2 linked regions of the Drosophila melanogaster genome follow. The protein of the gene in region 1 interacts with the protein of each later gene in a pairwise test. Each region holds a gene or a part of one and is shown on either strand. Other genes may lie near its edges.

Region 1 (15,505 bases):
GATCGGTCCAGTTTTATGGGTCATGCTACCAAATGGGTTACTACAGAAATTGAGAAATATTATAATATTAGATTACATACATATATGTATATATATGTAATTTAATTTTAATTTTAATTTTAATTTTAACTCCAACGGTTTCAAGCTGGCATATGTGTATATGTAAAAGAAAATAGGGGTATGATATTTTGAATTACTCAGTTCTTTATTTTCTATAGTTTTTCTGGATAGTCATGACAATTGGGTTTGAGGTAATTGCTATTCGACGGAAACAAGTCAAGTAAGATATACGGAAAATCTACTTATTAGAGATGACTTCTGTGTGGTGTTACCAAGATTATGTGAACAAATATGTACACTATATATCGAGGAATAGTTTCTGGGAAATCCGATGTGCTGAAGTATTACGTAGTTGTTTCCGAACTCTAGGGGCTTTATAAATGTGAAAACAAGCATGCATATGTGTTTCAATTTTCGATAAATTGCAGTTCCCTGTAAAACACCCCCATGTGAAATAAAACCCTCCTCCCCTTTTGGTTAACCTTTGTAAACCCACTCGAGATCCACTCACACACTCACAATTGAGTGTTTTGCCCACATTTCACTTTTGGCATTGCGTTTCAATTGAACAAATTCACGCTAACAATTAACAATAAACAATAACAAATTTCCGACGAAAAATCTCATCGAAAAAAAAAAGGAAAAACAAACAACAATGGCATGAAAGAGGAAAAGAGATGGTGGGTGGGGGTGCGAGAAAGAGGCCAACAGTCTACCTATGATTGGTGTGCGATAGAGAGGGACTATTTCGTTGCTGGGCAGACAATTTGGCATTTTTTGCAAGATCGCTATGTGCCTCTCCCTCGGGGCAGCTGCTGTCCCGCTCCAACACTAGCACTGCACTTATCCTGTGTTCGAGAAACCATTTCACGTGAAAAGCTATTAAAACAAAAAATTGAAAACGCTCTCAAGTTTAATACGAAAATTCAAGGAAATGAGCGGAAGAAGATGGTAAAAGCGGGTTTTACCAAGAATAATCAAAAAGTGCACACACATACAGACATACATACATACATACATAGGCACACAGAGAGAAACGAGCGCAGACAAGAACAATTTGACGCATTACAAACCAAGTTAATAACACCTTTTCTTCCGAAGGGTACAACTACGGCAACAGCAAGAGGAGGACCAATGTTCCCAGATTCCCCTACCCCTACCAACCATCCTCACCGCCCTCCCTCTCACTTCTTAACCCATTGTTGTTGTACGGCTTCGGACGAATTCAGCCGCTACACCTTTACATTCATACACCTTTAGCAAGAAGCCATGGCCAACAACAGGGCCCAGCAACAACAACCACTTTGCTATAGGCCATAACAGCAGCGCAACCAGGCCTCGATATTGGTAGTGGTGCGGCTGGGAGAGCAGCGCAAGTACAGTGAAGCCTAAGCAGCAGAAGAACTTAGCAGTATTGAGTATTGAGTTTGGTTTAAAAAAGTTAAGCAAAGTAAATGTTTATATAAATATAATTAAGTTATTTTATATAATTAATAAATTATATTATATATGAGAACAACGGGTAGTTTGATGGAACCATCAGTGTGATTATGGTCAAAATGTGTAATACCCAAATGAGTTTTTAAATTTTACTGACATAATATTTAACCCTAATCCATTTTCAAAATACCTTTAAACTAAAGATTCTAATTTAAGTTTGCTAACTTACAAAAAGTGTGCTAATCCAATGATTCAAACTTCCATCTACATAGATACTTTTCCCGAAAGTAAAAAGTATAATATATCCTACATAATTCCTACGAGATATTCTTAATTTTTTCACGAAGTTACCGCGAAGTTACTTTCGAGCGACAAGCACAACAGGGGTTAATCAATACAAGTTTTGACAGCTCATGTTATCAGTGATATTCGATATGGTTATGTTTGGCGTGGGAAAACGCGGAGTGGAATGCGAGTAAGTGGTTGTATTTTCTTGTGGGTGCGCACGCCACTGTCGAGGCTTCACTGTATCCGCATCTGCTCGTGCGCTTGCATCTGCATCTGTATTCGTGTCGTGTGGCGCTGTGTGCGTTTCAGTTTCGAGTCTGTGTGAGGGCCAGCTTCATTTCAGCTTGGCTTGCGGTGTTAAATGTTTGCAGCAGCATTTTTCATTCAATAGCCCGAACAACAAGAACAACAACAACAACAACAACGGCAGCTGGCTGCCAACATCATCACACAAGCGCACACACACAGCCGCGCGAACCACTCAGAGTGCCTGCGTGTGTGTGTGTGTGTGCGTGTGAGTCCGCTTGTGTATCTGTGAGAGTGAGTGCGAGTACGAGTATCTTTGTATCTGCTGGTTCGCCTGGGCTGTCTGTCACTTCTCAGAAATCGGTCTAAATTAGAAAATGCGTTTCTGGGAATTTCGTATCGCTCTTTTGGGCCCACGGAGCTCAGCGAACAACATATATAAAAAAATATACATATATATGTATATTGTCAGTATATATTGTAGCCATTCCCCTTACGTCCAGTTCGCGGAATATTGCGCCTTTCCCTAATAAATTTATCAATGGCATTTGCAAATATTATATAGCAAACAGGGCAACTATTTATTTTGCTTAGTAATTTATGCAAACAGCGAGCGGTTCAGGGAATTCCAATTACCACAATGTGGTAAACACCTAAGACAGTTTTGTATTTACCTCTATTTTGGTTTGCTGGCTTTTTTTTTTGGTTTCGGTGTGCTCGTTACTTTTGGCTAGTTGGCAATTTGGCTAAACCGTAGTTTAAGCATATTTTAGTTTTGCTTTGAAAGATATTTTCCCCGTTTTCACGTTATCTCAACCGTTTGGCTGGCACATACACACTCACACTAGCAAACACTAATTGATTGCACTTTTCGATCTGCGATGGCACTGCACTATTTCCATTCGACAGTGTGCACTTCCACTAATTTGTGCAATTTCACTCGACGCAACGAAACCACGCACGAATCCGAAGAAGTATCGCTTCCCCGAAAAGTATCTGTATCGTTCGCACTGCGTCCGCTTCGTTCCGTTTCTCCAGTGTGACTGCCAACGGAATCGCCAACGATACTGCGACCCATTAAAAATTCCACAATGGCCGCGGAAAAAGTAGCACTAGCGGGTGGATAACTCGGCTAAGTGGTCGCACATTATCGCTAGAAATGGTGGTGAAACTGGAAAGTGGTCGAGTTTCAAAATACTGGTATTCGTATACTCTAGCACGGGCTCCAACCCGTGGCATCATTAGCAGTCAGGACGGCAATGCTTGATATCCTTATAAATCAATATGGCCGCGCTTAACATCCTTAGAATTCAGGATGGCAGCCCCGCTAATGCTTAGAATTAACAAAATGAGTGGAATTACTTGAAAAATCAAATTAACGGTGACTTAACTTTTGTTTCCAAAATGTGGAACTCATTGTGCCGTAGAATTTTTGAAAATATATTTTGAAAACATATTTTCCTCCATGAGAACTTCTTGAAAGTTTCCAATGAGAATTTGTCACAACATTTTATTTGATTTCGTTCAAAAAAATATTAAAATTATTCATAATTATAAAACGTAGATAAGAAATTCCAAAACAAGAGCTTAATACACTCAAAACAAAAGTCGGGTCTATACAAAAGTAAATTTCTTATTGGACAATTACACTTAACAAATATTTAGTCTAGTATTTGCTGGTCATTAATCCGCTAACGTTTTTTCATTTTTGCGATCAGGTCTTACAATCATGTTCTAATAAAAACTAAAGATAGACGAACATATAAATACTCTTGACTATATTACACATTCCTTTTTACACAATAAATCCCAAAAATATTATTATTATATTAAATTCATGATGGAAAATTATTATTCTAAGCAAAATATTAAACAGCACAGGAATAATGAGCTCATAGCCGCGATTACTTTCATATATTTATTAGGTTTAAAATGGTGGCATTAAATCGTGATACCTTTACAAGGGTATAACAATTCTCTCCGAGCTTATCAACAAGCAAATAAAAACAAGTAAGCCGGTGGCAATAAACAGTCAAGAAGTTCTCTTCGGCATGGCAACTGTGGGACAGCTGACGAGAATCACGGATGTGGCCAATCTCAAGGATCTGCAGATACTGTATCTGAAGGATTGGCCCAGCAACTGTGTCGGCTACTTCTGGCTGGACAACTACTTGCGATGGATGGATCAAAACCCGACGTTGAAACACCTTAACTTCTATACTTTGGATAATGATTGGAGGAGCGATGGATTGTTTATACTGGTGGTCTGTGGAAACGTTCTTACGAACTATTGAGTATAATCATTGAACACTTATCATTTCAGCATCGTTATCAACTATTCTTCAGTAACTTGAGCAAGCAAAAAACCGATTTGGAAGTTGCGCTGAAACAATTGGATTGGTCGAGAGGATTTAAAGTCAGTGCTATCCATGAGATCCATCACAAGATCTACAAGCAGCTGGCTCTGGACCTCGGGCTCAACATGGATCGAGAAATGAATACCATTATGTACATCCTGAACCGTGAGGAGGCAGAGAGACTGCAGATACAGTGCCCGGATGGTTATTTCCTGGACAAAGTGCGGCTGGAACATGCAGATCTTATTAACGATCTTTGGTCAGCTCGACATCCCGGCTCGCTGAAGCTCATCCAGATGCTTATAACATACAATACCAATGTGGGATTGTATGAGAAGGAGTTGGGTTCATTATGTGCTTGGTGCTTGAGGTACTAAGAAAATGAATTCTGAATTGTATTGTATCTTTAACCAAGTCTTACAGACTGCAAAGTGGATTCCTCGGTGCTTTGGAAGTGCTCCCAACCCACCAACGTCGTGGTTTGGGCCTAGTTGTGGCCGCCGCCATTTCCAAAGCAATCGCAACGGATCTACAGCAGGATATTACGGCTTTGGTCAATATAAACAACAGTGCTGCCTGTCGTGTGTTTGAGAAACTCAACTTCAGGTTGATCCAGGACGAACACTACTACTGGAGCATGATTAAGCCAGCAGCAGGAGGCCAGATATCTTGGCCCTGCGACGAATAGGGCCCACACCGTTAGTATTATTGGCCAGAAATTGCTTACAAATGAATTGTTTGTATACCTTATATACCTTTGTAGTTGTAACCTTAAGAAATATATTCTTCAAACTAAGTACAGATGATGCTTGACGAGCTGCACTTCTATTTGGATATTTGATCGGAAAGGTTGTTTCGCTTGAAGTAAGTGTGCAGTCAGTTGAGAGCTAGCTTTTAGCCAGCTAAATATTTTCACAATTCCCCATTGCTGACTCAGTTTTAACTGCCACTTAGCAAATGATTCTGATCACATTCAAGCCAAAAGGCTTTCGGATATCTTGATCCGGCAGGGAATAGGCCCAGACAGCAAATAGAGATACAGCAAAGTCTACAGCGGCTAATATGCAAAATATCTAGAAGGTGCCCTGCTATCTCAGTGTATAAATTGAATCACCGTCTAGTTGCCAGGGATCAGTTTTCGAAATGGATCGTCTGCAGCAGGTCGGCGTTCAGCAGTTGGGTGATCTGAAGCGTGTTTTCACCCGGGAATGGCCAAAATACTGCAAGGAGTACTACTGCCTGGACACGTTTCTGGAGCTATATAAAAAGGACGATCAGCTGAAGGATGTGCAAGTCTATGCTCTTCCCAATCTAGAGCTCGGAATATTTGTGATCGTGGTATGAATGCGGTTGGTGGTTGTGCGATCTTTTATTTAATTTTTATGTGGATCGTTAAGGATCACTATCAGATATTTGTGGGCTTCCTGGAAGCTGAACAATCAGAAAGCCTTTTCAAGGAGTCCTTACTCAAGTTTAAGCTCTATGGAGGCGAACAGTTCGCCTCAATGCCAAAAAGGTATTTCAATGTTGCCAACGACATTATTCAAGCGAAGAATCTGAAACTAGATCTCGACTGTGTAACACTTTCCCTGGTCTTGAGCAAAGAGGAAGCCCTGCTTTTTCAAGTAGAGTAAGTTCATCCAAAAATATATATAGTGCATGTGCCTAATAAACCGCTCTAAACTTTAACAGACCTCCAGCCGGATTTTCCCTTAAGCCGGTAGATATAGACGATGCTCAGGTGATTAATGATCAATGGGAATGGAGTGAGCCGGATTCCCTTTCCGTGGTCCGCCGTCAAATTCTGTATGACACAGAAAGAAATTCATGCTATTAGAAATAAATTCTCAATTACTATTACTTCGCAGGGCTCCAGATGGCTTATTGGCAGTCCTTCAGGTCAAGACGACCTACAAACGCAGAGGCTTCGGCCAACTGATTGTGAAGGAATTTGCGAGACAAGAGGCTCTGCTGGGACGCGATACAATCACCGAAGTGGTTCCGGAAAACAAGGCATCCTTGGGCCTGTTCACCAAACTGGGCTTTAAAATCAACGACCAGTGTCACTGGCTGATGACGGAGCCGCCAAAAGGAGTTCGATAAGATTAAGGACTTGTTTATCTGTAAATGTTATTTTTTTTGTAGATTTAAATTATTAAAGCTGATAAGTTTTAGCAGCTGGCAAAAAATGTACTGGCTGGCCATAAGAAAACCACACGTAAGAGAATCTAACGATTTGAAGAGATTGCATGAAGAGAAATAGACAAGCTGCTTGATTGAGTCACCCAAACAACAATCAAATGAGCCATTTTCACTCGGTCGCTCGAAGGGGAAGATTGTTTCGCTCGACCAATATGGGTACTCGATTAGAAGTTATTGGGCTGAAAGATATCCAGGAGTTCCAACAGCTCTACAAGCAAAACTGGCCAAAATATTGCCAGGAATACTACTGCCTTGATAACTTTGTGGAATTTCTGAAAAAACAGCCCCATATGAGGAATATTAAGATGTACACATTGGATGCAAAACAAGCCAGAGATGAAGGTCTTTTTGTTATAGTGGTGAGTTCTACATATATGTATAGACTGCAACTCACTAAGAGAGGCGGCCCTCTCTTAGGATCGCTATCAACTATTCGTAGGTTGCTTGAACAACACGAACGGCCTTGTTGGAAAAGCTCTGGATTTACTGGACTGGTCGTCGGGTTTGAAATGCAGTTCTATACCCTCCAGACACATTGGTGCCCTGGATAGTCTGGTGGAGTCCAAAAAGTTGAATCTGGTGTACAGGGACTGCACGAATTTGTTTTTTATGAAAGCCAACGACGCTCTCAAGCTGAAAGTCGAGTAAGAAATAATAATCCATTTAACATAACGAGTTTTATATGATCTAAGTCTTGTAGACCTCCATCTGGATTTGTTTTAAAGTCGTTGAGTGTGGCAGATGCTCCATTGGTTAACGCAGAGTGGCCCAATCATCATGAGGGATCTTTGTTCTTCGTAGAAAGGCAGATTCGCCTGTGCGTCAGTGTTGGATTGTACCAGGAAGACACCCAGGAACTAGTTGCCTGGTGCATTAGGTAAGACGAATGTATTTTTATAAAGACACATTACCTGATATCGAAATCTGTAGGTTACAAGGCGGCTACTTGGGCGCCCTGCAAGTCAAAGATACACACAAGCGACGCGGATTTGGCAGTGTGGTGACTAGGGAAATAGCATACCGCCTAGCCGTCCAAGGTCACGATGTAATGGCTCTCGTGGGCCCCTCGAATAAGCCGTCATCGGAGATGTTCAGCAAACTGGGATTCCAGGTCATCGATCAATGCTACTGGCTAAGGACGGAACCCACCGGTGGGCAGTTCACATGGCCCGAGGGCGAGTAATTGGTGTTTAAATGTCTGTATTAAAATATTACGACTTTCGGTTGTATATGAATACAAGTATTGGTATAAAAATATGCCGAGGCATTTGAGCTGTGCTTATTCTAAAACTCTAAACGAGCGAGCAATCCCTGGCAGCGATCTTCTAATTGGAGGGGACTACACTGGATAGTCGGATCCTCTGTTAGAGTCCGGGTGATCTTCCATAAGCACTCGAGATCGTATTGCACATGATAATCGTTCATTGTGTAACTATCGAATAGTAAAAATTTGGTGGCTACGGTTCCCTCTGCCAATCGGCGAGCGGCTATAAACTCCAGTAGTTCTATAAAATCGAGGTAGTTGATACCAAAGCTGGCCCTCAGCATTGTCTGGCAGTGGGCCTCAAAGTTGTCCATCTGCTGGCAGTCGGAGATCTCATTGCAAACGGCCTTCAGGTTGTTCTTAAGGTTTTGCCAGACCATGGATATGTTGCAGCCATTGAACCAGTTGTGATTGACGGATATGGTGTCTGTTAGGTTCCACACCTGATGAAACCAGCCACTGGGCACGAAAACAGCTTCATTGGCCCGCTGATTAATGGTGTAATATCGCACGTTGTGCTCATCCAGCATTTTCTCGTCTATACTAAAGGGCAGGTTTCCCAAGCGATCGTTGAGTTTGAGTTCTTCTCCCGGCGGCATTATCAGCCATTTCTTAAGGCCCACTATATTGGTGGACCAACTGAAGGAGCCAAACACGTCCGCATGATAGGAGGTCCTAGAATGGAAGGTAATTTAGCATGAGAAAACCAGGTAAGGCATCAAAATAGACCATGAGTTCTTGGGCCCCATATAGACGAATCGATAGTCGTCTTTCCCCTGCTGAATCAGTTGTTCGTTGAGCCAGTCGGAGGCAAAGTATTTAGGCACCTTGTAGAAGTTATAGCCCGGCATTTGGGCAGCCAGATGCCAGTCCTTGAGGTAGAGATTGTCCCCGCTCGCGGGAGCCACATTACTATTCACTTCCGCCGACGTCCACGCTGCTGACGATTGACTTTCGATGCTACTCCTCCACTTGGCCAGGTAGTCGTGGAAGTTGAGCTCCAGTTTGGTGTGACTATTGAAGTACGACGAATTGCAATTGGCAACTGGAACCGGGCCATCGCTGATCTTGGTTTTGAGGTAGTCAAAGTTGATGGAAGATGCACTCGGATTGGAGTTGAGATCCCGCGACTCTGGACTGGACTGGCCTACAGTCCAGTTCTGGCACTCCCAGTCGTTAGACACATTGGCTATGATGACCGGTATGTTCTTGTGCATGTAGCGCCAGAAAAAATCGTTATAATCTAGTCCAGAACAGCGCTCGATTTCCTCGGGCAGCTGTGGGTCAGTTTCCACGACTTCCTCGGGATGCAACTGGAGCAGGACATCCCCATCCCGCTCTTCGGACGCCATTCGATCTGGCTGTGGGTCTTTGAGGCGCTCAAATTCCTAATCATGCACTGGCTGTTCCTTTTTGAGTTCCTTGTAAAAAATTCCAAAACGATATTTGGTTGCAACTTTTCTGTGTGACCATCGCAAATAAAATAACATATGGTCTTGCCGTTATATCAATGTGACCGTTTACAAGTGTCTTTATAGACGATAGACGATTTGGTATTTTTCAAGGATGGGTTTGAATGAAGGCTACGAATTCATTTAAATTAACTTAAATGGAATCTATGAAAAAAATTCTTAAAATGATAAAGCTAGCACCCCAATAAGTTAACTTCACCAGATGTTTAATCAATAAATCCCACATGGTTATTTAATACGATTTTTTATCAGCGATTACATGTATGTACGTTGGCTGTTATTTATCTAGCACAGCTTCGAACACAATGAATGTAAAAACGTGTCGTAACAGAAAAATTCAAACTCCCCGAAAACTGTGGATAACATTTTAATGGAATTTTTCGCATAAAAAATTCATAAAATTAAAAAGTTTTTGACATACCGTGACTTGTCGCGCCATGTACCGTCGGCTTATCCCGTCGATTTATTCCGCCGACTGTATATATATATATATATATTCTTCATCAAGATCAATAGCCGAGTCGATCTGGTCATGTCCGACTGTCCGTATAAGGAGCTATAAAAGCTAGAGGGTTGAGATTCAGCATACAGATTCTGGAGACATAGACTCAGCACAAGTTTATTGACACATGTTGCCAAGCCCACTCTAACGCCCTAAAATCGTCCAAAACTTCGACGTCCACAAAATTATTATTTATTTTTGATAATTTTTTTTTATAATTTTATTAACCTTGCAAATTTCTATCGATTTGCCAAAAACCTTTTTGCAAAGCCCACTCTAACATCCTAAAACCGCCCAAATCTGACCTCCACATTTTTGAAAATTGTTGGATATTTTTTCATAATTTTATTGATCATGTAAATTTCTGTCGACTTGCAAAAAGCTTTTGGCACGCCCACTCTAACGCTCTAAAACCACTTTTAACAAATTTCAAATTTTTTACTCATTTTATTCCCCAATATCTATCTATGTATATCCCAGAAAAATGATGAAATTTTGCGTTCGCATTCACACTAGCGGAGTAACGGGTATCTGATAGTCGGGGAACTCGACTCTCTTGTTATTTTTTAGAATTCACCTATAAAAACCGAAAAAATAAATAAATTAAGAACCCCCTTAAGTTCCACATTCCACCATTCCACGTGTTCCAGCAATAAAACAATTTATTATTTTCCTTAATTGGTTTTATATTTACTGCAGTTGGTTTGCCTTTAGAGTTTTATTCGCTAAACATTTTACCATTTTCAAGTTTTTAACTACAATTTGGTTTTACATATGCATGTCTGAGATTGTGTGTTTGTTTCTGTTCAATTTCAAACTGAGAAAGAGATCAAATAAGTGTAAGACATTTTGAGAATCGAGTTGTAGTGTATATATGCATGTTGTTCTATGCTAGTCGGTTTTTATTTCTAGATCTAGGCATATTCGTATATGTATAAACTTTACAGATATTTATTTTGCGACCTTCCAGGCCAGACTTATAGCTACATGATTACCAACAAATCTGCTCATCAGACCAGTACAGTATAATACGCTCGAATCGCTTGCTAGAAAACTATATAATGACCATACAAATTAGCGTATAGGTAAAAATGCTATATACACATACAAAATCGTACAAAACGTAACAGTAGATTCTCATGCTATCAATCGTTATAAAGGTGTTTACAATTTATTATTCGGTTTCGGTTTAGAAAATGTACAATTATTGATTTTGTCTTGGGTTTTCGGTTTTTCGGTTTTACATTTTTCGGTTTTTCGGCTTGCAATATTGGTTTAGTATGTATAATTTGTTTACTTAGGCTAAGCGCATTTTTCTATATTTCCATCTTTTTATTTAGAAGGTACAGAGAGACTGACTGAGAGATCTATGTATCTGTGTATCTGGTAGGTGAAAACGAATGTAGTATGTATGTATGTACTATATGCTGCAAAACTTCTATATCATTATGAATTTTTGCTATACTTATTGTGATCGGAATCTATGTACAGTGTTCGTGTAGCAGGCAGTGCCACGTCTACACGTTGCTTACGAACTAATTTAGTATTCATTACGCTATTTATTCATTCAGTTTCGACGCCCTCGAACTGCTTAAAAATTTAACTAAACATTTCATTTACGTCCCGCCCTCGCTGGAACTAAAGTATTTAATTACTTTACTCATTGTTTATAAGTGTATGCTTTCCCACTCATAAGTATTCGCATTGGATTTAATGCTAAATCAAATACTTTGTTAATTAAATATCTTAGCTTAATACATGCTTGATATGTAGTTCTCATGTAAATTAGTGAAATAATTGAAAGTTCACAGAAGAGAAGTGGAGTGTTTGTTGGTCCAGTTGGAGATGAGCTAACAAAGTCTGGTTTCTATATGGATTCGAGGTAGGAAATAACTTAGTGTTACGTTAATTTTGTGTGGGACTCTGGTGCAATTTATAAGTAGGTGTGTTCTTCCTTGGCAGTCTGTAGATTGTCATAAAATGAAAAGAAATTCGATTCGATTACCAAAGGGAAAGATCGAGGAAGTTACTTCCCAAGCCAAATAATCAGGCATTCAAATGTTTACGTATCTTAAAAATATGTATTTAAAGCTTATACGAATCGTAGGTATCTATATCATTAGTTTAATTTACGTTCCTTTAAATTTGCTACATAGGTCTATCCACTATACATCTGAAGCAGCAGTTCAATCGATTTCTCCTACGATTTTGGGTACATCCCCGGCATTTCCGGTACAACCTCGGTGTGTTTGGATCCGCTGCTCAATTAGCTGGACGTACAGTTGTACGGGTCGTCCGTGCGGAAGTTCGGATGATCCTCGAAGGGTTTCACGCCCGCTGCCTTTTTGTCATCCCTCAGCTTTTCCACCTGCTGCATGACCCTGAGGAAATTGCCGCCTGCCAGCTTCGTCAGCTCGTCAATTGTCCAGCCGCCGCCAAGGAGTTCGGCAAATAGAGTCGGATATGAAGACACATCCTCCAGTCCTTTGGGCGTACTAAAATTAGAAGAAGGAATCTCAGTGCATTAGCTTTTTTGTCGAAATATGAGTTATACATTTTGGAATAATGCTTCCGCATAAAACATATATTTGAAAAAATTTCTAATCACAATTAAATTAAATTTTCGTGCACTACATACAAAATAAATTGGCTAAGCTGTCCAGAGGCAGAGTCCACGGCAAACAAACTCTGGGCGTAATAAAGTCGCATTGGGTCAAGCTACAGAGGAAAACAAATAAATAATGGATTGCACACATAGGAAAATAAATAATAAATATACATTTTGCAGGCCGAACACTCAAGTGCTCGGTAATCATATTTTATGAACAGAAATTTGTACAAATAAATAATAATTTAGTTTTCTATGCAGGCGTTTAGGCCAAACACGGTTTCAATGACACAAACAGCAAAAATATGGGTCACAATACCAGTAAGGACAAATTAAACAGGGTGATGCACCATAAATCCGATTTATTTATATTTATTAAAACAATCATTTTCAATTAAATGGACTGCCAACCATGTAATATTATAAGAGCACTTTATATTAAATTATTATCAACATTATTATAAAACATTCGCGCCACCCTGCCGAGTCAATATAAAACAATTTAAGGATTTTCCAAAAATTTGCCAAATCGACTGCGGTTGGAAAACAATTTATGTCCTTTTCTCCTAGTTTGGCTTTTGCCATTTTCAAGTTCTGCATGCGAATGTGGGCAGAATGTTTATTGTGCATGTGTGTGCGTTTGTGTTGCCAAATTAATAGCACTTATTTGCGGCTTTTGATGGCCAAAACTTAAAATTCAATTCAATATGTCGATCAAATTATCGGCACAAGTAATGACAATTTAATTGAATAGATAAACCTCAACCTCGAAAAATGGGAAGGTGTCATAGGGGACAGCCAATGAGCCTTTAAAGTGGAAATTCGCGTTATTTGCCGAATATCAGCCCAGGATATCAGCCATGCGGTTTGACCCGAACCGGAAACAAGGCCATTTGACATTTGGTAATTTCATAGAATTTTAGATTATTTATTGTGCCATACTCATGTTTGTTTCGTATTTCGGTCCCCGGCAATTGCCCCATAAATATTCATATACACCAATTTCAGTTTTCTTGTTTTCATTGGGCCCCAAAATACCTCAAAAACATTTATGTGGTCGCGCTGCTGCCCCGAAAGACCAAAACAAAATGAAGTTCATTTCGGTGGAAATTGATTTACATTGACATTTTTATGTCGTCCTTGTTGTTATTTTTGCATGGGAATCCTGCTCATTTTTGCTCATTTTTGGCCATGTCCTCAAAATATTTAATGCAAAAACAGCCCAGCGAGATGAGACTGGACGACCAGGTAGGTTTATCAAAATTTCATCCTCAACATTTTGTTTGTTTTCGCATTGTGTTCACGATGCAATGAAATGGAAATCTATGCAAATGCATTCTCCGCAGCATCACGGGAATAATTACAACGATAATGAAGATGAATGAGCTTGATGATGGTGATGACGCTGAGTTTGGGGAAAAAGGACATTCTGCCACTGGTCGGCTCATCGAGGTAATGAACATTTCGCTCCTGCTAATGGGGACAGGCTTTAAATACTTTTGGACAAATTCTGATTGGTAAGTGATTTACTGGCAGCTTTGGGCTGCGAGCTCATTTAAATACCAGATTTCGCAAATGGAATTTAGCTGGATTTTTCGGTACTTAAATATTTTGCTACATAGTTTTCCGGAGCATGTCCTCATTGCAGTGTTTTTTCCGAATTTATCGTCGAAAGTAGTGTCAGCCATTTAATACACTAACGACTACCATAATCTTATGGTATCTTATCCACATATTTACGATGGCTGATAATCTTTTATTAATGGCCACCTGGATGCAAGTTGAGAGCTCATTAAATTAACTTGAAAATCTCGGTAAACAGATTGCACATTGTTTGCGAAAAACATGAGAGAACAAAAGGGAAATAATGGAAAAGTGCCCGTAATGAGCGGTAAAATAATAACGATCTATCCGCACCCATCGCGCTCTGGCAATATGCCAATTTTAAGTCCTCGTCCTTAAATATAATCAATTAATAACTTAAAAAACAGTAGGTAGATTGGCAGCCAGAGGAGGGGAAACCACCTGGAGGTGGTAACATATATATATATATATATATTGACTACGGCGAGGACGAGCGGAGGAATGCGAATTTAAGTGAAATAAATGACTTTTACTTACTAATTAATGCCGTCGTAGCCGGCGCCCAGTCCAACGTGATCGATGCCTGCGACTCGCTTAATGTGATTAATATGCGCTGTGTGTGTCGAAAGTGTGTTGGTCAGCGGAAGGATATCCGGTGGCAGGGTTACCATTCGTCGTCAAGTTCATTAAGGGCCATTGTTGCAGGTTGGACGCCATTGTTGTTGTATGGCCGTCATAAGTCAGCGTTATTAAAATTTTCGCAAATTTGAAATGTGTCCAAGTCGACCGAAAAACAAAGAAATGGAAAGAAGTAGGCATTAGAGGGGCTTATTGCAGGAGAAACACTTGGAAAATCGCTTTTTATTACCACAAATATTAATATGCAATTTTTAAATATGTAGTATACGTTGTTCATTTATCATTTATTTATACATAGTGAGCAAATCAGTAAAACGTTCAATCAATTCGAAATGGACAAACAACATAATCTAATCTTGGTACTGATAATTTTTCCTTGTGTAGCCAAAAAAAGTGGTGGGAAATCTGCGGGGATTCAAAAGAAGACATCGAGTCAAGGAAGTGATTACGAGACCCATTTTGATGGCTCGTCAAAAGCAATGCCACAAAAATCAGAATAGGGACAGGATGAAGGGAGTGAAAAGAAGATAAAAGGTAATAATGAACTAACTGAAACAATAGCCCGGCAATCAGGATTCAGCGCAACAAAGAGCAACCGCGGCCAAGTCACTGGCTTTGATTGATTTCGGATGGGGCAAAGTTCCCTCGAAGGCATCTAACAAGGTATATAAGTTATAATACAACCCTTGTTAATTTTTTTCACAGACAGCCATGTCACGTTTACGATAGATTTAAAATATAAATATTTATGGTGACTAAAAAGCTTCTGAAAAAGTGTCTATGATACATAAGTGATTAGAAATTGGATCTTAACTTCCCGAAATAAAAGTTAGAAACTGACGA
Region 2 (17,122 bases), on another chromosome or scaffold:
TCCGAGAAGTTCCTCTACACATGGATGTTGGACTGCTGCTTTTGGCCGGGTCTGCAATATCTTAACTTCCGCTTCCTCAATTCCCTCTATCGCGTGGTGTTCGTCAATGTAGCCAATTGCGTGTACGTCGTTCTGCTTTCTCATATAAAGTACGGGGTTTCCAACCACGATCCCTAGTTATATTTAATGGCAATTAAACTTAATAAGCAAAATACAAGAATGGCGTTCCAACAACTCATGGATAAATTTTAAAAGCGATAAGAAAGCTATCGATTAGAAGCTCGCTGGTACAGTAAGTGGTGGTGGTCAGTCGAAAAAATGCCATCCCCAATCAGCTGCTTGTTTAACGTCAAAACAATCGGGTCTTTCGTAACGTAAATCAAAAACACACGGGACTACAGTAGTCGCAAATTGCAGTGGCTGCGAACGATGTTTGGCACTCGTTGCCTGCGCCAGTGCTACAGTCTCCGAATCCATGGCTCCCACAATTCCCGCAGAGATTTTGCGGCTCTGTGCCGGATGAGAAGCCATGGTGTGGGATACCAAAAGTACGGACTTCGTTTTACCCATGGCAAGGGGGAAACGGAGGGTGGAGCGCTTAGTTTCATACTGCTGCGATGGACTAAGATCGCGTGGAGCAACATGTTCGGCAAGTATCTGCTCGTTACGAACGTGGTGGGCTCCGGACTGCTGATGGTCGTGGGCGATGTGATAGCCCAGGAGTACGAGTACAGGCGTGGATTGCGGCACCAGGACCGCTTCGATACGGATCGCATGTACCGGATGTTTGTGGCTGGCGCGCTGCAGGGACCTCTTCACCACTACGTGTACAACTGGATGGACAGGGTAATGCCGGCTCGTACGCTAAAGAACATCTTCAAGAAGATCCTGATTGACCAGCTGGTCATGTCGCCCGCCTGCATCGTCATATTCTTCTATTCGCTTTGCTATCTGGAGCGCCAGACCCTGGACGCCACCAATCAGGAGCTGATCTCCAAGTTCCCGTATGTTTACATGCTGGATTGGATGACCTGGCCGGCGGCGCAGTACCTGAACTTTCGCTATTTAGACACCAAATACCGGGTGACGTTCGTCAATGTGTGCACGGCTGTTTACAATGTGCTCATGTCCTACATGAAGCACGATTTCGGCGTTCACCTCCCACTGGAGGAGAAGTTAGTTGCGTCCTCCGAGCAGAACCTATTGCCTCAGAGTTCAACGACGAGTCCCGATGCCCAAAAAGCCGTTTAAGACAGAACGAATAGGAATCGCGGAATAGGTGTGATATCGACAAGAAACCAAATTATTTAGTTATTGTGAACACGAGGGTTATTATGTAAATAAGAGGCTCTTAATACCAATAAATATGCATGTTTAGTACACAACTGGTCCTTTAACATAAATGCTTAACCAAGAAATAAGATGAATCATTTTAAGTTATTGTTAGTCGATCAATTATATTTATTATACCCAAATTAAATTAAAACTACATGAAGTTTTAAATTATGCGTATGACTAAATCGAAACATATCAAATGCAACCTCTAACTATGTTATCAGCTGATAAAATAAATATTTGTTTATTCGATAAGCGAAATACACCAGTCTAGACTGGTGAACTTAAATATAATAGTCGTATGTATTAACCAAACACACAATGTGTAAGATAGCTGGAAAATAGATATTTTATAAATGTTACCTCCTAGTTATTTCACTTAATCACAATCGTCTCCACGGGCTGACTGATTCCAAAGATGTGCTGCGCCAGCATCAAGTGTTCTTGGTTAATGAAATTCGCAAGCAAAGTGATCACGTTCTCATTGCAGCGGGCAATCTGCTGGCGTGTTATCGCCCTGAATTCATCTCGGGCTCCTTTGTCCGCTCCACGGGTGCCAATTCTTCGGCTTTGGGAACCACCAGCTACAGTGGTCGCAGTAGGTGTGCCACTCGAATTTGGCGAGCTGGTCAACTCAAAGTTATCCTCCTGCTGGGAGTTCCAAATGTGCGAGAGTTCCTCGAGCAAATCGATATTAATAATGTAGGTGGATAGGGTGCGCAGATTGAACGATTTCCGTTGCTTGATCAGGTTAAATATCTGTTGAGTGAGCAGAACATCGTTGAGTAGATTAAGTTGCTGCAGCACTAGGATATCCCCTAGCAATCGATCTGGAACGTTCGGTTCGAAGACCTTGCGACTCAGTCTGCTGATGATGGCTCCCACGCAGTACTGAACCAACGCTGATCGAGTGAGGGGCAGAAAAACCATGTGCCTGTGGCCCTTCAGCGACATATTCTCCAAAAGTTGACCCTGGGTGGTGGGGAGTTCTGACAGGATCTTTAAAATGCACTGGAAGCCCTGGAGCTGTGTGAGAAATTCATTAAGGTTTACCCATGTGAAAAAACTGGCTCTCTACTTACCGTCATGCTGCCTTGCATTAGATTAAGGCTCAAGATCTGCAGGCTTTGCACCAGACTGCTCTGGGTGGTCATGTCCGCCATAAGCTTGTTGGCCTCATCCCGGTGTCCGAAATATATGGCCAAGTCGAAGAGGAATCTTGAGATCCAAGGCGCCAAGGGAAGAGCCAGCATAAGTTGACTGAAATCCCTTTGGAACTGATCCGTATTGAGCAGCTGCCAGCACTGGGCGGCGTGTAGGAAGGCCTTGGATAACTCTGGACTTATGGCCGTGGTCAGGGAGAATTTCGGTGGCTCCATGCTGGGCACTTCGGAGCCATCACCTTCCGGCGACCATTCCATGAATCCTTCTACCAAAACATGAGTTACATCGGCATCCTCGATCCTCAGCTTACAATTTCGTATATAACCATGAAGGGAGTAAATGAACAAGGTGGTGGCGTAGAACAAAACCTGGGAGCTGCCCGCAGGACTGCCGGAAAGTATGTCCACCAGCTTTTCCCAGTAGACGTTCTGGTTGACATGCTTGCTGAAGGGCAGGAAGGGCTCCCAGCCCATCATCTGACCGCAGATCATCAGCACTTTAAAGATGTTCTTCCAGGCATCTGCTGTATCCGATTCATCCATTATTTGCCGCAAATAAAACTCCAAGGAACTGGTATAAAGTCTGCAGGCCAGATTTGGCGAAAGTTCCGGGGGCTTATTCTGGATCATGGGCAATACCTCCTCCACCAGAATCCGCTGATAGAGATCCGGTTCGGTTTTCATGCCCTCCGCCAGCATTTCCAGTAGCCTGGGAGCCTGAGTTATGGCTGATTTGGGAAACTTGTTGAACATCAGTATGTAGATATAGATGCGCTCCAGATTATCGGCACTGTGGTTGATGGTGTGCATGAATATGTTGTGCTGTACTTCCGGAGTTAGGTGCTTGTACATTTTTACATAGAACTCGTGTTCCGGCGTAGTTTCATTCTCATTTCTGAGGGCATTTGTTAGGGAGTTGATCTCCTGCCACAGCTCCGTATGTTGATTCTGGAAATTGGTGGCTCTGGAACAGTAAAAGATAAAGTAACTGGAATAGATGTGCTATTGTATACTCACATAGCACTGAAACACTTTGCTGCCTCCTCATAATTCTGAGCATCGCGTTCCAGTAGATAAGCCTCGTATTGCAGGTTGAATGCATTGGGATATAAAGTTTTAGCTGTGATAATCCAGGCCATGGCCGCGCAAGGATCGCTTTTCCGGAGTCTTTGCGCCTCCTTGACCATGTACAACTCATTTTCCTCTTGGCTCGGCATGTTTCTTCGGGTATATCTTTTGTTTTTATTAATTTTCTCCTAGTTTCAACAAAAACAAACCATTTAGCCGGCTATTAGGAATTTATTTACTAGCACTGGCCATATTTTTCTATTAGGGATGGGAACTATTGGATCTAGAAACTAGCTAGAGATTTCAATTATTTTCAAAACGCTTGTTTAGCATAGTGCGCTTGTTTTAGTTACATTAGGGCTGGCGTTATTGAGTCATTTCAACCTAAAACGCTTTTTATATCAATATATGTTCGGTGAATTCGAAGATATTTAATTTTCAGCTTGAATATAGCTAGCTTAACAAGCGACTCTCTCCTCATCTGCAATCGATAACAGCAGCGGCAGTAGTGTTGCATAGTAGCTGCCAGCCAGCTGATTATTCGCTAAATAACCAATTGTTTTTTCGCGAATTTTTCAATTTTCTGTGATTTTTGCGGCTACAAAATCGAAAACTATATTAAGCAAAATACATACGAACCTGGCAATTGCGACTGCTTATGTAATATCTGTGACAAACCAAGTTTTCTAGAAAATACCTGCCGATGCGTCGTTGCGCTTTGTTTTTGTTGCGTGAATAAGAATCGTTGGATATTTGTACATTCGCAATTTGTTGTAAATATGTTTAAATCTTAAGTGCCACAGCTTATCAACGAAGTAATATAATTGCGATTCCCTCCTTTTGTTAATCAGTCCCACTATATAGCACTAAATATAAAAATTGAGTGCACAAATCGCAGTATGCCCCATTTTCTGATTGTCATTCCGAAAACAAACAATGACAGTCGCATTGAAAGTTTAAATCAAATCGTTTCCCAGAAAATTCGTACGTAAATATCTGAAATGTCAGACACTAAATCCGAAATTGAGGGCTTTATAGCCATTCCCACGACATCGGGCGAACAACAACAACAACAGCCGCAACAGCAGCAAAATGAGCAACAAGTGGTCGGCACAAAGGACATTAAAGCTCCTGATCAGGGTAAGTTGTGTAATATTTATAGAAACTTACTAACTTACTTAAGAGCGCTCTATGTAATTGATAAATGGCCTGCAAATAACAATCGTTCATTAGTATCTTATCATATTCTATATCGTAAAATAATCTTAAAAAATACGATTATTGTATATATTAATATTTAGTTGAGAGTATCACTGATATCTAGAAGTTATTCATAATCTATAATAGAAATCATTATTTAATACATATCACTTAACAATAGATACTCATAAATCATGATAAACAAGACAACGTACACTAATTCATGCATTATGCTAATAACAATCTGCTCATTCTATAGATATTTTTTTAACAAATTTATTTGTACCTGTTTCTATTGTTAGTTTATAGAGCAATGTGTTTTTCATCCACGAATTATGCATATCTATTTACTCATACCTTGAATCACTTAACTTGAATGAAGTTCCTTAGACTTTCATTCCAAGATCGGCGACTCTCTTCGATGAATCATCAAGTTAACCCCTTCGAATAAAAGTAACATAAATTCCGAAAAACCTGTTTGATTATTTTGTAAATTGCTTCAAAAATGTGACGTTATATTTATTGTAATAATAGCCGTTTTAATTGTTCAGTTCCAACTTGTTTAACCTAGTGTCTTATCAAATATATTATGTAAACACAAAATAATTCTAAGTTTGATTAATTTTACAATTTATTTTAAAGCAAATTGAGTAGTGAATTAAATATTTATGTCGTGTTAGACATAATTTTATTTACAATTTCTTTCGTGATTTGTTTTTGAATGCAAGTGTTAATTTACTTAATTTATTTAAAGTTCTACATCAGTCTTAAAGTCTTAACGGGAGTTTTGAGTTTACTTCTGTGTTCTATATTTTGTAGTGTCAAAATGTATTGTATATAACTACCGGTTTGAGTTGTTGCTTCCGAAATCCGCACATAGCAGGTTTGTTTCTGCAATTTTCAATCTTCTCCTAACCAACCAACAGCACAGACAATTTCACTAATCATATCCTCGAGATTCTGTTTAAATATAAATACAAATAAAACTCGTTGCAGTGGGGAAAAAGCAGCGACCACGTTTGATACAAGAGAAGAGCACCCAGGAGACAAATCCGTTGATCCTGGAGCATGCTACTCTGGAATGGGTGCCGCAGCATATGGATAAGCTACTGAATCAGTATCAGGAATGTCGCAAAATGCCGGCTGCCGAGTGGCTTCATTTGTTGACTTACCTGGTGGCCCTGGAATGCGGATTTGTGGAGGAGGAGACATTTGCCCAGAAGAGACACCTCATTCAACCCGTACCATCATTTAGCAGCTTTCACGCCCAGAATGTGCGAATCCTGAGCGAACAACCAGCTAGATATGAAGTGTGCTTCAATGACACCGTCTATATAATGCGACTGAGAACACTATTGGACAAGCATGCTCCCGAGGAGACTTCTCTGGTGGCTGCCCTTCAGTGCCGGCTGATGGCCGTCAGCCTGGGGGATCAGCTTATGATCACCCTGTCCCCAGCACCTCCGTCGAAGGAGCCTGGCTACAGCGTCAGCCTGTCTATCGGACGCTATGTACTGAATATTCAGGCGAAGAACAAGCCCATCTACCATCGCTTTCGGAAGCTGGATGAACTCTCATATCAGCTGAAACAGCACTTGTTCCAGCCCATGCGATCGCAGCAACTAATGCAGATGGAGATGAAGCTACAGCCCTCGCTATTGGGCCTCCCGGACGAATTGTACTTCGAGATCTTCAGATATCTGGACAAAAGCCAGCTAAATGTGGTGGCCAGGGTCAATAGACATCTTCATTTCTACAGCAAGGAAGTGGAGCGAAAAAGGCTAAAGGGCGGCAGAAGCTAAGCTCTTGTTTTAATCGAAGCCGGTTTAAGCGATTTTATAAATATTATTATATTAATAAATTATTAAGTGGTGCATAAAGATTCTCGGGAATCATTGTATGTCAATAAATATATTTGCTTATTCAAGTAAATGCCTTGTTAAGAGCTGAAATACAACACGTCTCTTTATATTCTCTGAAATGTTTTAAATATTAAGACGGATTTTTACAATAAACTATCCTCAAAGATAAAGGGAATATTCCTTGCTTTATTTGGTGGAAGGCATGGATTTTTTCAATTGAAAAGGTAAATTCGAGAAAGTGATTCAATTAATTAAGCACTTCAGTTTTCAGATAGATTTTAAGTAACAGGGGAAGGTGTTTTAAATTACTGAAGCTTCTTATGTTTTGTTTTTTTACATATGTTTTAGTAAGAGTAAGAGTAAGAGTAATACCATATATTTGTGTTTAAATTATCCTTTAAATTGTGTCCTTATTGCATGCATTTATACGACCCGCTCCATCAGCAAGGACAATTGTGGATCCTCCGACGCCCTCGGCTGAGTCCTGCAACTCCTTCGATATCTTTGAGCCACCTGCCACGCCCCTGGATTCCATTAGCCTCAAGAGCAGTGCCAGTAGTTACCTCTACGATCGTGATATTACAGGTGAGTTGCGTCCACGTGTCCGCGCCACCTGTTCGTCGGCATTTCACCCCCCCCCCCTCCGCCCTTTATGACCGAAAAGAGGGGTACACGCCCCTAAACGAGTCGGCCCTCAACCACAGAAGTGCAGAATGCGAAACAAGCTGCTCCAGCAGCCAAAAACACGCGCCGAGATTGTCGCATCCACAATTCCCAGTGCCCCCAAAAAACCCCAAGCCCCCATTCGCCATTCCATCTTCGTCGGCTTCGAATCTCCAACCTCACAAGCCCACTTCGATTTTTTATGCGCACGCAAAATCAACAAAACCCACGCGGGCAAAACGGCACCCCTATAACCCCTATGTGTGCTACAGCTTTATACACTGAGAGAAACCCATGAAAAGCCGACGAAAATTTGTAAGTTTACACTAGTTTACAATTTTCAATTCATTTGGAACTCTTGAGAGTATCTCGAACACATTCGTATTTCTTTTAAATGTTTCTCTCAGTGTACTCCCCTTGGCCTCTTCGCCTTTTCGGTTTTCCTGGCGGATGGCATCTACAATTTGGTTTTTCTCCCTCAACAGCGGGATGCTTGCTGCTCGGTGCTGGGCTCCTATTTCGTGTTTATATTACGATATCGACTTTCTCGGGCCGAGCCTTATCACTAAAATAAAATGAAATAAAAACAAAAATGGAAAAGGGAGAGAGTGAGAGTGAGCCCAGCCTGGCGACATTCCCCTTGGAAACCCTATGTTTTCGGTTTCCCGTGGGTCCTGTCGAAATTATCTGGCTACAACTTTATCAAAATTTACGAAAAACAGTGACAAATGCATAAATAAATTATGGCAAAGCCAAACAAAGCAAAACATATTCCGCTGGGCTAGTGCTCTCGCATTTATTTTTGGACTAGAGGCAGTCGTGTCTCCTGAAAAGCTTCGGAAAAACGAGAGAAGCTTTCCATCGAGCGAAGAGTTACTCAGCATTTCCCAGGGGCAGCTGTTTAACCCCAGCCTCGTCATCCATTTTGTCCGCCCACAATTCGGTCGAATGGTTGGGTGAATGAACCCACAGATGTGGGTTTCATACAGTGGCGAAATATAACGAAATATAGTTATTATATACCACGTCAAGGAGTATTTCAAAAAGTGTTCTAATTGCAAATCATTCATTTTGCATTGATAAGATTATTATTAAAAACCGGTTTGAACTGGTGGGTTTCTGCAATAAAATTTCTATTGACTGCGATTATTTGTCAATGTTTTTATGGCCTAATGAAAGACTATCTTATCACGAATAAAAGCATGGAAATTGGAATTCCATGGACAACAGAAATAATTAACCACTGAGTCATTTTGTTTATGTTGGGACATACATTAACCTAAATTTCTTCAATATTGAGCTAAATTGAGTTACATGCGGTTTTGGTCACACTGTCTCCCCATCTGCAATGCTAAACTGTGCCAAACTTTTCATTCTGCTTCTCGTTTGAGTAGCTGTTGTTGCTTTCGTTTCCATTCTCGGTCTCCTCCCGTTTGTGGGTGGTCCAGTAACGGTAAACAGCAAAGAGGAATCAAAAGAGTTGGCAAAACATATGCTTCTCCTATTTCCCTCTTACTTCTGGGATGCAAGCAAAAGCAAGGGCCAATTTTCTAAGCACCAGCAGATGCAACTCTGTCTCGCTCACTCAGGGTCACACTGGAAAAAATAATCGTTAAATAAACAAACATAAAAGTGAACTCTGCTTTAAACTCTTTAGTAAATCAGCTATATTTATGAATGATGTTAAAAATAATATTTTAAACATCATAAATATTTGAAACTGCTATTTAGACGTGCGATATTGAGTCCAAAACCTGATGAACTTTCATGTGGGGGGTGCTCAGATGGACCCGATTGTTTGCTATCTGTGCTTTCACAGCTCTCACAGACTCCCGATTTCCTGTGCAACTCTCTACGATTCTACCACTCTCTCGGCTGATTGCGCTTTTCGCCTCTCGCTCCTTGGCCAGCCAGCTTTTCCGCAGGATAACAAAGCTCGGCGCAATCAGTCGTCGTACTTTGGCCCAGCGTCTCTGGTCGGAAAAGCGGAAAAGCGGGACTTTTCACCCGGGAGAGAGTGTCGCGAATCCTCGCTCTCGCCCAGATACCGTTAGAACCTGTTCGAACTAGGTCCTTTAGTGGCATACATATGCGTGGCATCCTTCGCGTCCGTGTGTGCTTGTGCTATGTGTTTTCATAAATATAAATAAATAAGTCCTGGCTGGTCCAGAACTTACTACTACTACTACCCCACACACACACAACAGCTGATTATTTCAAATCGGCGCTGGAGATTTTTATAAACACTTTCAAGTGGGTTTTTGGGTTTGAGAGGCTGCCGAGCGACCTTGACATCGCAGTCAATGGTCTAGTTACCTCTTGCATTATCTTTGACTCGCTGAAATCATTGCGAAATCAGCTGGATTATTAGTGATTTATACTAAAGATTTATGAAGTTTTCTAAATTTTATAAATCGTATTTTAACAGTGTGAATGGGTCGCTGAAATGGTAAACAATTCAGTGTGTATTTTCTAAAGAAAATTTATTTCTAACGATTTTAGTGTAATATTTGTAGTAAATACTGGATAGCAAATCCAGCGACCGAAACGCAATGGTCTAGTGCCACTTTTGAACTGTATAAGTTAATATTAGATCAGCCTCAAGCTGGATTACAGCAGCGATAGCAACGGACCCTGGGAGAAGCAGCAGCAGAACCCAAATCCGCAGAACTCCAACGCGGAAAAGGACAACAATGCCAGGACCAATGAGCAGCTGCAGCAGGACTTGCTGCAACAGTTGCAGCAGCAATTCCAGATGGCAGCGGTGCAGCAGCAGCAGCACCACCAGCGGCAGTTGCTGCACCACCAGCACTCCCATCCGCCCTTCCAAGCCACCCAGCAGCACCAGCCCGCGCAGCAGCAGCAGCAGCAGCAGCATCAAACGGTGCAGCAGCAGCAGCAACAGCAGCAGCAGCGCTTGCACCACTCGCACCACCCACCGCTGCAGCACCACCTGTCGCTGGGTGGCTACCAGCAACTGCAGCTGCAGATGCAGGCCAACAGGAATCAGTACTCCACGCCGCAGCATCACTATCGCAATGCAACCAATGCTGCAGCGGCCGCAGCTGCAACATCGGCGAATGCTGCCACCATTAGACGCCGCACCTTGAGTCACGTATCGCGCTCTTACTCCCTGGGCACAGCGGCGGCCAACGCAGCAGCAGCCGCAGCAGCAGCAGCAGCAACAGCAGCGGCCACAACTGCAGCAGCCACAACTGCAACATCATCGGCCAGTAGCAACAATCAACTGAGTATCCACAAAACTGGGATCATGGTCGCCGCCTCACGATGTCGAAGTCCCATAATGCTGTGCCACAGTCACAGCGACGGCGAGTTTCCACTGTACCGAGGTGAGTCCGCAAGCGGGTGCCCACTGTAACGTAGTGCGTTCCCAGGTGGATCGACGTACATTTTGATAGCTTAATTAGCCGCTGTCATTGTGTGTCACTCGCATGTGCAACAGTTGACGGCAACGGGAAATGGGATGAAAATGAGATGAAAATGGTATGAAAGTGTGGGGCTATTGAAGGGAAATTGCGTTGCGTTTGTGTATTTTCCGGTGCTCCATTGTGTCCTGTAATGCTAACTGGTCGATTGTTGTGTGCGGGCCTTTGGGCTTGCACCTCGTATTGATTGATTACTTCGCAATGATTTATTAATTGGATTACAGTCATGCGGGCTTCGTTTCATACTGGCAGTTTACGTTTTAATTAAATATTTTCCAAGCACATAAATGTGCTTATTTTTATGGAAGAACAGAGATATTGCAAAATGAGTAGGCAAATAATAAATAAAATATATTTTTATACCCATTTAAACGTATCAAGGAGGTTTTATGCGTTACAATAAACTCAATTAGCAGCGTTTACTTTGATGGTGCCCCGTTTAGATTTCCACTTAATTACTCAATTACCGTTTCAACCGATTCGATATAAAAAGCCATCATTTCCTAATCCGCAACCTTAACAAGCTATATCGCACTCAATATTGATATTTATGACGATGGCAATTTGCTAAATTGAGTAAATGTCATTGAAATCGCGAAAAGGTTGGCTGTAATCAATGTCCTTTTCATTGCTCTTTATCCTGCACTCGATTCTATGCAATTTTCCCGTTGATTTTTATGCTTTTCTTTGGCTTTTCCTCCACCATTTCCACTTTTGTTTCGCTTGTCATCTGGTGCGAAACTTAATTAAATTACGACACTTCTTCAGCGCTTTTTTTCAGCATTTCCTGACAAGTTCAAAGCGCAATGTGTCGCACATCCTGCCAAGGATTTCCTTTGCTCTCTTTCTATTTTGATCGCCTTTCCTTTTCCCTCACACACATATTTGTTGACTGTTCTAATACGCTTTAAATGATGGAATCGATTTGGAAACATTTGATGAGCTTGTCGCAGCGGCGACATCTGCGAAAATCTTTCATGAGTCTGCACAGTAAAGAAATTTAACAAAATAAAATAAATTCCTAAAAAAATAAATTATTTTGAAATTATTTGTATAATGGTTTTTGCAACCTCTAATAAAAAACTGTGTATGTTCGCCAAAAAAAAAAAAATCATAGATAATTCTATTATTTTGACACTCTCTTTTCTCAGTGTAAAACATTTGCGGGTGTTCGTACGAAATAAAATTAGCAGACTGATGATGAGACGGAATCAAGGGGGTACAAAAACTTTTCTTTGTCGTAAAATGTTGCGAGCAACGTTTCCCAAAAAATTGGGGCTACAAAAATTGATAACTCAAGTGGAAATCCAAGCGCATTCTGAAGTTGTTCATATAAAAAATTTACGAGTTTCTTTCGACATCTTGAAAAAGTTTCGTTCTTGGATTTGGTTGATTGTTTAAAAAATTATTGATACGAATTTTATTGGCGGCTTCATTTTTGTGGGATCTAGCAGCTGAAACAAATGGGGTTGGGTTAATTATTCAGGCCGCATTTTTGGGTTCAATTTTGATGTGCATAAATTTCGTTGAGCACGATTTATTGGTAAGGATTTTCCGCCTTTCGTTCCCAAACTTGTTAAATTTCCCTCGGACTTTCTGGCTGGGTAAATATTGACAAATATTGATAATATTTCATTACCGTCTTCGATAGTTTTGGCCCGCCTTTTTTTTTTGCCTTTATCCTTGTCAACGAAATTTGCAGTTGTGTTCGTTGCCTTCTTTTTCAATTTTTATTTGCTGTCAATATGGCGCCATTTATGACAAACTGTTCGATGATGGCGTCGACAGCTTCCTCGGCTTTAATCACACCAGCCCAGGAACCCTCTCGTTGCCTACACTGAAAACAATTGCATATGAATGTTTGCTGAACTCATTCCACCACTCATTTTTAAGCCAACAACTTGAAGGAGTTATTTAAAGTAATACAAACTAAGCTCAAACTAAGCAAATCATCATTGTATACATTTATAGCCCAATTTGTTTCAGTGTATTGCATGGCGGATACTTAATGACTCCATGGCGTGTCTTTAGTGCTCGAGTTAATGTTTCGCGTATTGATTTCGCTCCCTTCGCCTGCAACCCCACGACTCTTCCCTTTCGCTCAAATGCTTCTTGGCATTTCTCCCACGGAAAATGGGGGCGGTGGGACAGGACGGAAAAGGGGGGCGTGGCCGGGTAGTGGGGACAACAGCATCCGCAGCAAGTTGGCCAAGTAATTAAGGTTCTTGTAGCGCTGCTGCCTCAATGGCTCCCCAAGTTACGTGCACGAAATCTAAATTTAATTTGCAACTTGTGCCAAAAACGTGGGAAAAAGAAAAATTAAATAAAATATTTCGATGCAGCACGAGTTTTTCTTATGGGCCTATTGACGTCATTAGCTGTAGTATGGGTATAAATAATGAAAAGGATGAAAAGAAGGATAATTAATTGACAGCGGAAGAGATAAATGGATACTGTGGGATGCGATGAGTCTTCAAATAAATTCAAAAAAACCTATTAAATCATTTCAACAACATTTTAAGAGCTCTATCATTATTTCATAGAAGAAAAACAATTAAAAAGTACCACTTCTTATGATTAAAATATTCTGAAAATTATCTATTCAATTGCATTTCAAACAAATTTAGTTTGAACCCAAATGAAATGTCACACAATCATATAACACTTAACACGCTACGCAATTGGCCTATTCAAATTTCCCGATGAAGTTTAAATGTTTGCCGCAATTTAATTTCACTTACATAAATCCTTAGTAAATCTATTTAGCCGCCAAACTTTTCCTCTCACAAATTGAGTTCAAATTTTCTCGCTTTGGCCTGACATTTTCTGTGTGCCATCTTCTAGGCGCTTCAAGTTGGCCAAGAAACAACTCAATTTGAGTTTGAATGCAGCTATTTTGGGCCTGGTACTTGGTCGCCGAATTTGGCATTGAATTAACGTCTTCTGTCCGCCAGTTTTCCTTTTTCTTTGGACTCACTTTTTTGGCGAAAAGCGAGCGAGACCCCAGGAAAATTACCATAAAAATGCGCAGCTCTGTAAAAGATTATCTTTATTTGCAGACCGAGACGGGCAAATCAAATGTATGTCCTTGAACCTTCTCGCCCTCCCCCTCACGTCCATTTGAGTTTTCCCCACAGTCACATCAGACTAAACAAAAGGCCGAGGGAAAACCCAAAAAGAAAAACACAGCAACAAAAAAGGAAGACAAGTCAAAAGGTAACCAACAACAACGGAGACAATGCCAACCGCAAATGACCAACTTAAGCCTCAATTTTGGTCAAAAGGGAAGACATGGAAAAGATGGCCAAGAGGGGGAGGTAGTCGGAGGGGGGGGGGGGAAAACTGTGACCACCTTGCTGGCAAATTGCCTGGCTTAAAAATTTAATACTGCTCGCTTATTTGAAAACAATCAAAGCTCCAGTTTTGTTGTTGACTTTTCGAATGCACTGAAAGAAAAAAAGTTGACCAACTTTATAATTTTTATTTTTCGCTACCTTAAGCATATATCATTTATTTTATATAATTTGGAATATGTTTAATTTATGTACAACAATTATTATATAAAAATGTATCTAAACTCTTCTCTATTTTTCTCTGTGTCGCTGTTTACGGTTTTTCTCGTTTGGCTCGTCCGCTGTTATTTATTTATATTTTATTTGCCTGCCCCACTTACCTGACATCAACCCCTGTCCGCCGCATCCTTCCGCCTTCCTTCCTGTCGTCCTTCCGCTGGCTGTCCACCACTTCCCCCTCTCCCCACCCTTCTCATCCGCACTCAACTCATCTCCAGTGACAGAATTCTGGTCATGTGCTGCACATAATTGCATTCAAAGCTCTGGAAAGCAACCCTCCTGATTTTCTACACCCCCCTCTTATTGAGCAGCGCGGCAAATGACAATAAGAGCGGTTACTTATACGCCATGTTGGCCATGTGGAAAGTTGCTCATGTAATTACAGCCCAGTTTGTTGTTGCGGGTGGTCAGGAAAAACGGAATTCTTTATGCAAACTTTTAGGTCATGCCACTCGGACATGGATCTGGCCAATGACAAGTAGCAGGGAAAGTTTTGAGGGAATTAAAGTTTTCCAACAGAGGGGAAGGATATTTTATGAAAAAAAAAAAAACGTGGAATAACTTTGCAGTGAAAGTTGTTTATGCTGTCAGTGGAAGTTTAATTTCATTAACATGTTCGTAATGTACTATTTTAGTCATAATAAGTTGAAATGGGAATTCAGCAAATTAAGAACTGCCTTACAGAAATTTCCTTAAATTTGCGACTTTGCTTTGAATTTGTAACTTTTTCGAAATTGTAGTCATCCCATTCGATTTTTTCTTTGCCTTTTTCACTATTGATTTATGTGGGTTTTATGTTTTGGTGCTCTATTCCGTTGACCAACCTTCTATTCCCGTTTAACGTTTTGTTGACTAACACGCATTTCACTAAAAATAAACTTTTGTATTTTATGCTCTTATTTAATTAGTAATTTTATTAGTAATTTACTAAAATCCCAAAACTTGTCATTGAGTAGAACAATTACTTATGACCAAAATTTCAAAATATTTTAATATGCATATTATTGAATATATAAAATCTAAATAAAAAATATAAATTAAGCAGAGAGTTTCAGCAAAGCCATACAAGTTGGAAAAGCAGTTTCTACAATCGTTTTTTGAAAATCTGTTAAATTTTTCCCAGTATACTTTTCAACGAGAAGTGGTCATTGTGACAGTTTTGTTTTATTTTGACCGCGTTTGCGATTGATTTTAGTTTTAGTTGAACGCGAACCTTTACCAACGACGGCTGAGAAAAACTTACAATTCTCAAAAAATTGAAAGAAAATCAAATACACATGTGTACGCGAATAAGCCAAATAAAAATCGATTATACGCCACGTTGAACGCGCTGAAAAGTAAAGATAAAATTGTGCCGCGAATTCAATTTAACGCCAGACTTGACTTTATCGTGTGCGAGTAATCAGAGAAAACGGCGATATATAGGAGTAAAAAAGGATTTGTAGATAGGAAAAATTTGCAGAGGAGGAGATGGAGTGAGGTGCCAATTGAGATGTCCTGTCGACGCCACACGATTACCATTTCATCAGTACTTTGATTTGGGCCAGGCTAATAGATAGGCCTTTATTATCATCCATTTTTTTCCCATTGATTTTCCTTTTTGGGCTTCAATGTTTCGCAAACGAAAGCAGCAGCAGTTGCGATTGAAACATCGTACCGGCGACAGGAAGCGGAAATTGTTGTCCTGCATTTTTAACAGAGGTTGGCTTAAAACTGTTCTTCACTTTCACACTCACACTTTAGCGATTAATTTTTAATAATGCCCGGATAAAAAGGAGCCAGAATTTCTTATCCTTGCTGTGGAGGACTTGAATATGTTTTTAGTAAAAGAGAAACACGAAACCGACCCTCCGTGGAAGGATAGCTTGGTGTAATCACTTGTTGAGTGCTTTGTTTCGTCCTTTTGTTCGTCCTGCTAATAGTCCGGCAATTAATTGCTTGTCTGCCTTGATTCCTCGCCTGCGGCCCTCATTAATCAGGGGCGAAAATTGATAAGCGCTATGATTTAATAATAAATTATAGCCAAGGAAACGATTTACTCGGAATTTAATAAGGAAATTGCTCGGAGCCTTAGAAAAAAATTGGTATTAATAAAAGTGATTTCAATAGCTGTTTAAACTTTTGTATACAGCTCACTCTTCTTTAAATGTTGAATTTTTTCTGAAAAGGATATATTCATACATTGAGTATTCTTACTCAACCTTATAGCCACGTTTAAACAAACTCACATGCTTACTTTCTTTTATACATTAAATTATCAGACTTGCTTCAGACTAATACTGACGTTAATTTTTATTTGATTTGACGTGCCATTTACCCAACACAATGGCCACAAAAGAAAACATTTTAAAAGCAAACATTGCGTGGGCTGCCAAAAAAGATTGATAAAAAGGCAGTGCTCCATACTCTGAAGCTTACGGAATAACATTCAGCGTTCTTTGTTGATTTGAAAGCTTGTGAAAAATGATTAGAAAATATAGCAAATTTAAAGCCGAAACTATTCTTTACTCTATACCCATGAGTTAGTAGAAAGTGCATCTGTTAGTCGCCTAATATCCGAATTTCTCCAATGGCTCATTTGAAATTGCCATTTAGCTGAGGGCCCCGAACAAACACTTAACTTTATTTAGCCTGAATTATTCCTGCCATTGCTCAGACCACGAAATCTCTTTTATCTCATCACCTTTTTTTTGCTTCTTCTCTTCTCTTGCAGGTAAGTTTGACATTGATGGACTACGCAGTCTGGCAAATCGAAGGATATAAGGATGTTGGTAGAAATGCGCCCGAAAAGTATGCAATGACTTTTGACATTC

Evidence for each region.
Region 2: the proteins of CG5783 (region 1) and ntc interact in a two-hybrid assay, tested with the Drosophila melanogaster proteins (one large-scale study listed by BioGRID).

Annotation. Positions count from the first base shown.
Region 1 is NT_033779.5:18,149,332-18,164,836, forward strand, and holds CG5783 (uncharacterized protein), read left to right. Parts: upstream 1-6,711; 5' UTR 6,712-6,745; coding exon 6,746-6,952; intron 6,953-7,010; coding exon 7,011-7,237; intron 7,238-7,293; coding exon 7,294-7,470; intron 7,471-7,523; coding exon 7,524-7,776; 3' UTR 7,777-7,831; downstream 7,832-15,505. Other genes in the region: CG17681 (uncharacterized protein), read left to right, coding at 4,086-4,298, 4,358-4,761, 4,815-5,079; CG15155 (uncharacterized protein), read left to right, coding at 5,535-5,729, 5,789-6,021, 6,084-6,197, 6,260-6,494; JMJD4 (jumonji domain containing 4), read right to left, coding at 7,878-8,532, 8,587-9,209; CG42750 (uncharacterized protein), read right to left, coding at 12,098-12,326, 14,561-14,636.
Region 2 is NT_037436.4:3,793,405-3,810,526, reverse strand, and holds ntc (nutcracker), read left to right. Parts: upstream 1-4,067; 5' UTR 4,068-4,567; coding exon 4,568-4,706; intron 4,707-5,762; coding exon 5,763-6,568; 3' UTR 6,569-6,695; downstream 6,696-17,122. Other genes in the region: CG32263 (uncharacterized protein), read left to right, coding at 1-177; CG32262 (uncharacterized protein), read left to right, coding at 430-1,251; IntS10 (integrator 10), read right to left, coding at 1,711-2,361, 2,418-3,462, 3,516-3,715. UniProt on the Drosophila melanogaster protein: Functions together with PI31 to control non-apoptotic caspase activation during sperm individualization. Positively regulates PI31 stability.